3 linked regions of the Mus musculus genome follow. The protein of the gene in region 1 interacts with the protein of each later gene in a pairwise test. Links are inferred from orthologs where the notes say so. Each region holds a gene or a part of one and is shown in the gene's direction. Other genes may lie near its edges.

Region 1 (4,284 bases):
CTGGGCACCCTAAAATGTATGTAGGTCCTTTCCACCTAATCCCCCACTTCATCCCTTCTGTGACCATGACCAAAGATGCTACTAGTAATGACTTCAGACTTGAGAAGGTCTAGTTCAGGAACCTCGAGAAAATGAAGGGCCCAAAAGTGAAGTGCCACCTCTTAGTTACCTCTTCCACACTAGGGCCTGGACCCCAGTCTGTCACTCCTCCAGGGTTCTCCCTCCGTCTCTAGCTCCTCTCTTTTCCCATCACTGGCCCTCCCACCACGTTGCCACAAAAGCCCTATTTATCTTGTGTTTCCTTCCAGACCTCTCTAATTCATTCTCCTCCACTTTATTTGCCAAAGGAAATAGTTCTTAGTTCGATTGGAAGTCCCCACATTCATGTTTACCAACCCAGCCCACCCCAGTCTCCCTCTAGAATAGGCATCCTCTGCCCTCCACCCCTCTTCTGAGACTTCTCATGCCTTCTCTCCCACAGAGGGATCTCCGGACTTGCCTCCAGCTTTCCTTCATCATTCCCAAATTCTTGTGGTTTGCATTCTTCTCAACACCAATCACTGCCTTAAACGCTTATCTCTTCCAGAAACACCATTCTCCTAGTACGTCTTCATCCTTTCCCGCCCAGGTCCACAAACTTCCATCGTAGGCTCTCCAAAATAGCTCCTAAACCCCTCCAGCCTCTACTTCTGGCCCTTCCTCTCCATCTTTCCAATACAGTCCCATTATCCAAATCTCTACTTCATAATTCCCCAAACTCCACCTACTTCACCCCTGCCACAGCCCCTCTTGTCCCCAAACTTCTCCAGCCTCCCCAGGTCTGCCTTCGCAGTCCACAGCCCCTCCCACCCAGCCCTCTCCCGCGCGGGGCCCGCGAGCTCCCCACGCTCTGCGCAGCGAGGCCCTCTCTCTCTGCGCCCCGGCCGGCTTCGGCCAACTCGCCCGGCGCCTCCCCTTCCCCGATCCTCCGCCCCCCGACTGCCGCGCGCTCCCTCCCTCGCGTCTCCTCCGGGCCCCTCTCTCTCCTCCGTTCCTCCGCGCTCCCTCCTTCTCCCTCTTCCTCCCTGCTCCCATCCCCCTCTCCCGAGCGCCCTCCCTCCGCCGTCCGCTTTCCTGTGCGAGTCGCCGGACGCGCCGCCCAGCCTGTCCGTCCGCCCGCAGCCCCGCGCCCGACCGGGGCCTCGGGCCAGGACGCGTTTCGGGGTGGCAGGCCTCGGGGCGGGCTAGGGGCGCGCGGCACCAGCGGCGGGAGGGTCGGGGGTCGCGGGCCTCGCCGGGACCGCGAGTGCGGGCGGAGGCGGGCGGTGCGGCGGGGGCGGGCGCGGGCGGCGCGTTCCGGGCGGGAGGGCGGGCGAGGAGCGCGAGAAGCCGATCGGGGCTGCGCGGGGAGCCGGGCATGGGGGCCGCCCTCCGGGGGGGCCGGGGCCGCCGCCGCCGCCGCCGCGGCAGCGACTGAAGCCGCGCTGTAAGGAGGGGCGGGGAGTGGCCGCCGCCGTCCCCGGGAGGCGCCGGAGCCCGACCGCACTCGCAGCCAGCCAGCCGTCCCGAGCTGCTCGCAGGTAAGGTCCGCTGCCGCCGGCCCGGGCCGCCCCGTTCCGGCCCGCGGCTCCCCGCCCCCACCCCTCCCGGTCCCCCCTCCCGCCGCCGCCTCCATTTGTTATTTTCCCGGTCGCGTTCCCTCATTGCGGGCACGACCGGGCCCGAGGCTGGGGACTCAGGGGGTGGGGCCGCCCGGAGGAGGGACGCGGGCCTGGGAGTCGCGAGCTCGGGAGGTGGGGGGAGGAGGGTTTTGGGAGGAGGGCTGACGGGGCCGAGCGTCGCCAGGACCAGAGCCTAAAGGGGAGGAACGCCGAGGTGGAGACTTGGCGGAGGTAAACCGGGGGATGCTGTGCGGGTGGTTCGCGGAGAAGGCAGGACGGATCGGAGAGATGGCAGCGAGGTGGGGCGTGAAGGCTCCAGTAACCCCACAGGCCCAGCACCGGGTTTCCAGGTTGCGGGTCTTGGGAACAGGGAAAGGGGTGTGGTAGGTGGTAAAATGAGGGTTGTAGCTGCCGAGACGGGGGATTGAACCTGGGGGGAATGGAGATGAACCGGGAGAGGCCCAGCTTTGAGAAGACCGACGTTTTTTGGGGTGGAAATGGGAAGGCCATATCTTTTGTGACTCAGTTTTCTTTCCCCCAATCCTGGTCACCTCTGACCCCGTTTTCCTAATCCCAGACCTAGTTACTTCGTGAAGGGGGGGCACTGAGTCTTGGTAGTGTGAGTCCTCCTAACACGAATAAGAAAGGCAGGGATACTGAAGGGAGAATTGGGAAGGTTGGGAGGATGGGAAAGAAGAGAAGATTGGGCAATCATATAGGCATTCCAAGGAATTGTGACCTCCACCCTCACCCCCAGAGCATTGGCTGTCCCATAGGAGGACTTCCTTACTGCCTTGATCTCAGAGATCTCTTTGTGCCTGGGGTAGGTTACCCTAAAGCTCCCTTTCCTGAAAGGTTGGAGTTGCTCTGGCAACTAAGGTGGTAATAGTGGCTGCCAGATGGACCCCTGGGATGGTCTCTTGGGGGGCACTTTTTTTTTTTATCCATTTTGTTGCCATGGTAGTGAGACAGTGGGAAGTCCAATAGGTGGGGATTCAGTATGTAGATTGGGCCTCTCTCAGCCTGTAGCTTTGTCCTTGGTGGGTCTCCGGGAGATGTTTCTGGTGTTGCCCCAAGTAGGGTTTCCTAAGGAGGCATCCCTTCTCCTCCAGAAGTCTATTGGAACAAGTAACCCTGTTGCTTGCAGGTCATTCCTGCAAGCCTCTACCTGGGTATGGTGCGAAGATGAAAATGTTGTTGTTCAAACTATATTGTCTTGGGCTGGGGGTAGCTCAGTAGCAGTGTTATTTCCTAGCATGCATACAATAGGCCCTGGGTTTGAGCTCCAGAACCAAAAACAAAATAAAAAAAAAACAACCAAGTTACATCACCGCGGGCAATTTCTGTCGGCCTCTACCACTCTTATTGTCTTATAAATGGTTGACTCTTTAAACTACTTTATCTCCTTGAATTCCTCTTTGGGTCTCTCTTCCTTCTTTGTCAGTTCTCAGGGTGACCCTTTCATTCAACTGATCTTTGGCCTTTTTTTCTGAACCTACAAATGTAGCGTAGCTCTCCATGCCTGTCTGGGTGAGGGTGGCCCAGGGGCGATGGCTATGAGAGAGGTTAGAGCAGAGCAGGATGCTCTGGAATGGGGGCTGGGAGACCGATGTCCCTCTGTGACCTTGGGCAAGTCACTTCTCTTGTCTTTGCGCTTCACCTTCTTGGTGTGATGAGATGGCCTCTAGTTCCTGCAACAGACCTGGGTTCTAACCAGGCTGCATTATCTGCTCCTCTGTGCTTTATGGATGTCTTGGTCATTTTCACCTGATTGTTAATGTGGCAGGTCTAGAATGGATTTGGGGTGGTTGGTGATCCTGGAATACATCTTGTAAGCTCTTCCCAGGAAGTCTGTGACATGGTCATTTTCTGACATTCCTGTCATATTTGCTCCTTACTTTTTAAAAATTTAATTATACGTATGTATTTATTTTGTGTGTGTGCTACAGTGCACATGTGCAGGTCAGAGCGTGACTTGAGTTGGTTCTCTTCTACCATGTGGGTTCCATGGTCCAACTCAGGTCATTGGTTTTAGTAGTAATCTCTGTTTGTTGTTTTTGAGATGGGCTTTTAGCCAAAACTGTCCTTGAACTCACTGCCTAAGGAAATGACCTTGAGTTTCCCTCTATTTGCAGTCCTGAGATTGCAGGCCTGGACCACACCCTGTTTTATAAGGTGCTGGGGATCTAACCCAGGCCTTCTCGGAATCTCACCTCTGACCCACACCCACTTCTCTTAGTTTTCTTCCCTCTGCCTACCCATGGACTCTTTTCTGATTTCTTATTTCCCTGCCTTCCAAGTTTTGGTCTTCCTTGCTTTCTTTTTGCCATAAGGTGATGAGGGCAAATGTGTGTTGTTGTACATGGTAGGTGCTTCTAAGTGTTAGACAGAGACAGCCTTCTAAGTGTCTAAGTGTTAGACAGGCAAGATGAAGCGCCACGTGGCCAGTTGGTTTTAGAGTCCCACTGTACCTGTGTTAGACTTAACCTACGATCTGACCCCAACCTCTTCCCAGTTCCATTCCTTCTTCTGCCGATCCCAGGAACTTCTTCCCCATTGAAGACTGTTTTTCTTTCAGATTTCAGCTGACTAAAAAAGGTAAGAAGGTGATTGCTCTGTTCTCCAACAAATTTTGTTGTAATTT
Region 2 (3,647 bases), on another chromosome or scaffold:
ATAGCTGTGTGTAGACTTTATTAAAATCTGGGTTTTTGCTTTTCTTTTTGAGTCACGGTTCTCTATATAGCCCAAGTTGACTTTAGGCTTCTCTTCTGCCTCAGTTGCCTGAATGTACACCACCACAACTAGCTTGTCTTTTTTGTTTGTTTGTTTGTGTTGTTGTTGTTTGGGAGGTGTTGTTGATTTTTTAAGACAATGTTTCACTATGTAGTTCTGGTTGGCTTGGAACTCACTGTATAGATCAGGCTTATTCAAAATTCCACAGAAATCTACCTGCCTCTGCCCCATGCCCAAGTCCTGTGATTAAAGGGATGAGCTGTTGCCCCTATCACTTTATCATAGCATTTAAAAGTGTTGGCACTTAGTGTTTCTCACTACCTATTAAGAAGAACTCTGGGTATGATATAAGTGGAATGAAGAGATTTTTGTTTGTGATTACTACTTTTTCTTTCATTCATTCATTCATTTATGAGAATACATGATTACTTCATTGTGTGGTGGAAAAAAGGGCCTGGGGCCCAAAGCCTCTGGAGTTGTACACAGTTCCAAGGGAGGCCAAAGGCATGATGAGCAGCCTCCACTAACTCTGGCTCCCCCTGTGCCTTGGCAGAGCATGTACCAGAGCTATGGCTCCCCCTCCCAGTATGGGATGGCCAGCTCCTACGGCTCAGCTACAGCCCAGCAGCCATCGGCTCCCCAGCACCAAGGGACTCTGAACCAGGTAATGCTGTGCCTCGCTGCTCCTGGTCAGCTGGGAGAGAGCCTGGGTCTCGAGAGGACTTAGAACCATTAGTCTGCATGATTTCAAAGCTGCCCCCTCCCTTCCTCTTTGTTCTTTCTTGCCAAGAGGCTCCTAATTTAAAAGCTTAGCTTTTAAAAGTAGGATGAATGGGCTTGAGGCTGGGCAAGGCCAGGGGGCTGTAGTACTGGGAAGATAGTGGGGATAGTTTGTAGTTTGGCGGTCTGTCTTCTCCCTTTTCCTCCAGCATGTGCACTCAGCCTGTATTCAGGAGGAAGTCCTCCCCTGCTTCCTCCCCCTCCCCCCCCCCCACATACACATACACAGCAGATGGTGCATGCACACCTGTACCTACCCAACGTGCTGCCTTTGCATCTGGCACAGCCTAGAGGAGTGGAAGAGCCCAGATCGTGGGAAGTACATTGACCTAGGTTTGAATCCGTGCTTTGCCTCTTCTGTGGACCTCTTGAGTCACATGACTACCATACCTTGGTGGCTCTTAAGAATCGAGAGGATGCAATCTTCTCATAGGGATTGGGCAGATGTGTTGTCCTGTGTGTTGATGTGCTCAAGAGAGGGAACCTTAGTAGATGTGTCATCAGTGTGGTAGAGTCACAACCCAGTGTTGGCATTGCTGGTAGCTGCTCCTTGACAGCTGGGCTGTGGAAAGTTGTTCAGTCCCTTGAGGCTTAATCTTCTCAGTTGTGAAATGAGCTGCTAGTGAAAATACATACCCCAGGGAGTCACTGAGCACACATTATGGCAACCCACAAAATGTTGTAGCACTGAGTGCTAAAGAAGATGACTATAAAGACTGAATACCATGTGACTCAGCACCAGGATGCTGCCTGCTTCTTTCATCCTCTGCTTCTTCTTGCAGCCTCCAGTCCCTGGCATGGATGAGAGTATGGCCTACCAGGCTTCCCCTCAGCAGCTACCTGCAGCTCAGCCCCCTCAGCCCTCAAACTCACAACATGGGACACATAGTCTAAGCAACGGCCCTCAGCCTGGGACAGCCCCAAGCACTCAGCACAGTCAGGCCGGGGCTCCTACAGGGCAGGCATATGGGCCACACAGCTACAGCGAGCCTGCCAAACCTAAGAAGGGTCAGCAGTTATGGACCCGCATGAAACGTAAGTTAGTGTATCTGTGGGGAAGTCAGAGGGTTGGAGCTTGGCTGTGAGCCACACAGGGTTGCTAGTCCTTTGTCCGGGTGTTATGTGCCCTAGTCTAGGGGAAGATTGTTCTAGAACAGGTATGCTCATGTTAGGAACTTGTTCCAGAGCTTAGCCTATTTAACTGTCTGGGGAAGGGCCTAACTCCTGTCTCTGCTATCCTCCCACAGCAGCCCCTGGGACTGGGGGTCTAAAATTTAACATCCAGAAGCGGCCCTTTGCTGTCACCAGCCAGAGCTTCAGCTCCAATTCAGAGGGCCAACACAGCAGCTTTGGGCCCCAGCCCAACTCGGAGAACACTCAGAACCGCAGGTGACTGTTACCCTGACCCGCACGCCCGTGCTCTGTGCTCCAGGGCCTCTTTAGACACCACTCTTAGTGCTTCGTGGGGTGAAGGGAGTGGGGAAATGTACAGAACAAGGCTGCCTTCTCAGATCACAGAGGGAGTTCTGCTGACACGTGTGGGTCCTCCCACCTGAGTGCCTTCGTCTATCCCCCACCCCACAGTGGACCTTCTGGCCGGGGAAACCTGTCTGGGAAGCCAGATGATTGGCCTCAGGATATGAAGGAATATGTGGAACGGTGTTTCACCGCCTGCGAGTCAGAAGAGGACAAGGACCGGACAGAGAAACTGCTCAAGGAGGTGCTACAGGCCCGGCTCCAGGATGGCTCTGCCTACACCATCGACTGGAGCCGAGAGCCTCTGCCTGGGTCAGTCTGGGTGACACTGTGAAACAGATATGGGCTGGGGACATGGATCTCAAAACTAGCAGGTTCAGAGACAAGTGGTCCCAAAAGCTGACACCTGTATCTCAGGTCCCCATGGGGTGGGCAGGAGGCCAGGAGTGACCAAGGATGGGTTTTGGGAAGTGGGAAGGGATTACTAGGGAGGTATGGGTGGCTTGATGGCTAAGAGCATCCCCTGGACACAGACAATCTTGGGCTTGGTCCCTTTCCTGCACCACAGTGGCTGAGTTGCCGGGGTAAGTGCCTCTGCTTTCTCAGGTTTGGTGGCCCTGGGCCATGGGGTGGGGTCTGCAGAACTGCAGGTTGGTGGCTGGTTGGTAATGCCCTGCCCTACTATATCCTCAGGCTGACCAGGGAGCCTGTGGCTGAGAGCCCCAAGAAGAAGCGGTGGGAGGCCCCTAGCAGCCTTCACCCTTCCAGGGGGGCAGGCTCGGTGACCAGGGGCGGGGGTGCCCAATCCCAGCGAGGGACACCTGGGGCTGGGGGTGCTGGCCGAGCTCGGGGTAGCAGCTTCACCAAGTTCGGCAACCGCAACGTCTTCATGAAGGATAACAGCTCTTCCTCCAGCACGGATTCACGCTCCCGCTCCTCATCCAGGTCTCCCACGAGACACTTTCGGAGAAGGTGTGCAGGCTTGGGCTGGAAGGGCGCTGGGGGGGAACTGCGTGGAGCCTGACCCTTGTGCTTCAGGCCTGACTTCTCTTTCCTGTGCAGTGACTCCCATTCAGACTCTGACAGCTCCTACTCAGGGAATGAGTGCCACCCTGTAGGCCGCAGGAACCCACCCCCCAAGGGTCGGGGTGGTCGAGGGGCCCACATGGATCGAGGTCGGGGCAGGGCGCAGCGTGGAAAGAGGTGAGGTGCTTAGGGTGTGATTTCTTCCTAGGCATGGGTGGGTGGTATTGGGTCTCACAGGTGGGGGAGATGGCCTTCAGAGTGGCTAAAGACATTGACTTTCTTTTTTACCCTTTCTCCCCAGACAT
Region 3 (3,647 bases), on another chromosome or scaffold:
TTTTCTATTAACAAGGTTCTTTTTTTCTGTAAATATTGATAAGCCATTTATTCTCTTAAAATGAACAATATGTAGTTTGCTTGTTCATTGGTGCATATGTTACACAAAACTGTCACTTCTTCCATGTTATTAGTAAATAATGCTTTCATTGTCTGGAAAAACATCAGGTCCCTGTTACGCTTTGGTAAATGTTCTTGGATGAGTGAACTCCCCTGAATGTGACAACAGAGGGCAACATTTTTGTGTTCACTCTGGCATGAGAATGCTTTATTCCCATCTGTTAAGCCTCTTTCTAGGCAGGAGAAGCATTCTGAGCTGCATGTTGTATCTGCCTCTTATCTTGTTGTCCAGTTAAGTCACATGATGTGTATAGAACTCGCTCCAAGGATTTTAATTTTGACTTTCTTTGTCTTTGTACAGGTCAGGTTTAAGTCGAGGGACAGACCCCACCCCCACCCAAGCTTCCCTTATTGGAATCTCTGACTTACTGAGCTTTAAGTGCTATCAAAGGTTCTTTTAAGGAATCTATAGTAGAGCTCAGGACTTCAGTAAACTGGAGGCTTACTGATAAACCTACCCTAATTGTGGTCTCCCTCTGTACACGTGTCCTGCTGCAGTGGCAACCTTCATGACGCAGGCCACCACTGTCCTAGCAGATAGACCTGTACTTATTAACAGCAAATAACTTTCTTTAGTCATATAATGATCTAGTGTACTTTGATTCATACTGAATATTATAGTTGTATTTATTTTGTTTCTCTTTAGAACTAAAGGTGGTCCACAGATTGCTTATGAACGCAGCTTTAGGTGGAAGCTTGCTCACTTCCGTTACTTGTGCCAGGTACTACAGTGGTAAATAAATCTCATTTATAATCATTAGCCTGATCATTATGTAATACATATGCTGTGGCTTACATAATATCATGTTTTTGGTTTTAGTCTAATGCACTACCGAGTCATGTAAAGATCAATGTGTCCCGACAGACATTATTTGAAGATTCCTTCCAACAGGTAAGGAAGATATTATCAGAATGAAACAGTACTTTTTGTCTCATTTTATTCTGAATTTCTAAAGAGAGTTAAAAGTTTTTGATTCTTTAAGCATTTATAGTAACCCTCATTCCCTGAGTGACTATATTAATAATTATATGAAACTGTTATGTGGGCCGGAGGCATACACGGAGGCAAACCATTCATATACCTAAAATAAAAGGAAACTTCACAACGTATTAAGTCATAACTATTGACCAATTATTGACAATTTTTTGATGCTTTTCTTTCCTCATCACAGCATCTCTGTGGTGATGGTCATTTGGTGTTCAATAGCTAAGATGTCTAATATAATCTTAAGATATATCCTCGTGGAGTCCAGTCGTGACTGCTATATCTACAAAATTCTATACCCAAGACTCAGAGGACACTGCAAAACAGGGGCAGAGTTTCATTGCCTACCATTGTCTCCATTTTATAGACAAGGGTGCCACACTGAGAGACAGTCCTTCCACCAAAAATTTAGGTGTAGCTGGCTGTCATATCACATGCCTTTAATCAGCATTCTAGAGGCACAGACAGGTGAATTCTTAGCCACGTAAGGCTACATCGTGAAAGTCTATATTAAAAACTAAGAAGGAAAGAAAGAGGCAGGGGGAGGATGGGTAAAGAAAAGAAAGGAACAGGAAAGAGAAGAAATGAAAATTTTAGGTGTATTTAAAATAAAATTTAAACAGCATTTGGAACAAGTCTGTTTTGACACTTACTTTGTTAGGATTTTATTACTTCAAACAGTAAAGCTTGTGAAAGTCAAGTTTTAACAAATCAAATCAAATTGGTAGATTGTGTATCCATTGACTATTCCATCAGTAACTCTTATGCTCATCTGACATCTAGGCTTCACTGAGCCGTGATCAAGATGAGCATGTTGTCTACAATGACAGCCTGCCTTCCTCCCCGACATGGCTTCTTTCTAGCCATTCATGAGCCTTCATCAGTTTCATCACACCATTCCTCTCTGTCTCCTTTCCTGGAATGTGTGCTGCATGAGAGCATGGATTATTGGTTTACTTCACCTCTGTCCAGTACCTAGAAGAGTGCTTTTAGTATAACAGTTATTCAGGAAATACTTGAATATGTGACTGTAACATGTCTGCCTTTCTGGAGTCATTTGCAGAATATTTTTAAAAACAATAACATCATTTTTTTATGGTGAAATGGAGAATTTTTCGTGACCTTTCACTGTCTTCCAATGCAATGACTATAACTTTCTTAATACTTAAATATGTTTCATTAAATTGTAATTATTTTTTTATTCTTGAACTTAAAATAAAGTTCCATCATTTCCCCCTTACATTTCTTCCCCTCACACTCTTCCATATACCCCTCTGACTCCCTTTCAAATTTATGGCCTCTTTTTTTCACTAATTGGTGTTACATGTGTGTGTGTGTATAAATATTTATTTATGTCCCTAATACATAAACGCATAAGCATAATTTCTATTTCTGTATAATGTTACTAGAATTTATGTTTTTATGCCTTGCCATTTGGTGTTAGCCAGCTGGTGTGCTCTTCCTTAGGGAGGATTTCTTCTTCTGACCTCAGCATCCCTTAGTTGCCTTTAATTCTTTATATAGGGTTGAGGCCTTGGGAACCTTCTCCTGTCCATCTTAGCATGTCCCTTGGTATTCTCCTTGTTTTAACTCATGGTTAGGCAATCATGTTGGTGAGACTTTATGGAGTAGCTTCTATCATTCTTAGGAGTAACAATCTTATACCAAACTCCCTGATCCTCTGGCTCTTAAAATCTTTCAGCCACTTTTCTGCAGTGGTCTCTGAGTCTTAGCTATGGGAGATGTTTTGTAGATAGATCAGTTGGGACTGGATTCCACAATTATATTTTAAGATAAGACATATTGGCTATCTAAAACCAAATGTCCAGCCACAAAAACATATGCATAGTAGTAACATTATACAGACGAAACATACAGAATAACATGTAAAAGGAATACACACACACACACACACACACACACACACACACACACACAAGTAACAACAATTAATGAAAAAGAGGCCGTAAATTTGAAAAGAAGCCAGGTGGAGTATATGGGAGAGTGTGGAGGGAGGAAGTGTTCGATGAGGGATGAAAACTACACATCTGTGGGTATGAGGGCAAATGTTCAGAATGTAGTTGGAGATGATGCTGGTTTAGTAAAGTGGTGGTTATAAGCTCTCCTTCAAGCTCTCTGACTTTCTCAGCTCTGGGAAGTTGGCTAGGTTTCCAGTATCAGGCATGATGAACCTCTTGTTGAGGTGGACTTGGGTCTAATTACAGATTGTTACTTTAGAGTTGTTGTGCAATGCTGGTTGCTATTGTTCTTTTTGTTTGTCTGTCCTTTTTACAGGTTAAAATGGAATAGTAATACTGAAGGTCTAGAGACTTTTATAACATAGCCTCATTTTACTAGCTGTTAAACTTTACAAAAGATAGTCGATGCAGCTATTATCAAAACTGCTTGTGTATGACTAATTCTGAGCCAAATGATTGTTTCAAGTTTCCAAGTGTATTACACATGGCTTGTTCAGAGCTATATTTGAATTACTTTAGCAAGTGTGTATCTAAATTTATGTTAGTCGTTATTTTACTTTTTCT

The links.
Region 2: the proteins of Atn1 (region 1) and Leng8 interact in a two-hybrid assay, tested with the Homo sapiens proteins (2 studies listed by BioGRID and IntAct). The link is inferred for Mus musculus from reciprocal best matches to the Homo sapiens genes ATN1 and LENG8.
Region 3: the proteins of Atn1 (region 1) and Wwp1 interact in a two-hybrid assay, tested with the Homo sapiens proteins (2 studies listed by BioGRID and IntAct). The link is inferred for Mus musculus from reciprocal best matches to the Homo sapiens genes ATN1 and WWP1.

What each region holds. Positions count from the first base shown.
Region 1 is NC_000072.6:124,753,571-124,757,854, reverse strand, and holds the start of Atn1 (atrophin-1), read left to right. Parts: upstream 1-1,367; 5' UTR 1,368-1,559; intron 1,560-4,284. UniProt on the Homo sapiens protein: Transcriptional corepressor. Recruits NR2E1 to repress transcription. Promotes vascular smooth cell (VSMC) migration and orientation. Corepressor of MTG8 transcriptional repression.
Region 2 is NC_000073.6:4,140,410-4,144,056, forward strand, and holds part of Leng8 (leukocyte receptor cluster member 8 homolog), read left to right. Parts: intron 1-613; coding exon 614-724; intron 725-1,622; coding exon 1,623-1,875; intron 1,876-2,087; coding exon 2,088-2,229; intron 2,230-2,424; coding exon 2,425-2,628; intron 2,629-3,009; coding exon 3,010-3,288; intron 3,289-3,378; coding exon 3,379-3,519; intron 3,520-3,643; coding exon 3,644-3,647.
Region 3 is NC_000070.6:19,635,969-19,639,615, reverse strand, and holds part of Wwp1 (NEDD4-like E3 ubiquitin-protein ligase WWP1), read left to right. Parts: intron 1-765; coding exon 766-841; intron 842-939; coding exon 940-1,011; intron 1,012-3,647. UniProt on the Homo sapiens protein: E3 ubiquitin-protein ligase which accepts ubiquitin from an E2 ubiquitin-conjugating enzyme in the form of a thioester and then directly transfers the ubiquitin to targeted substrates.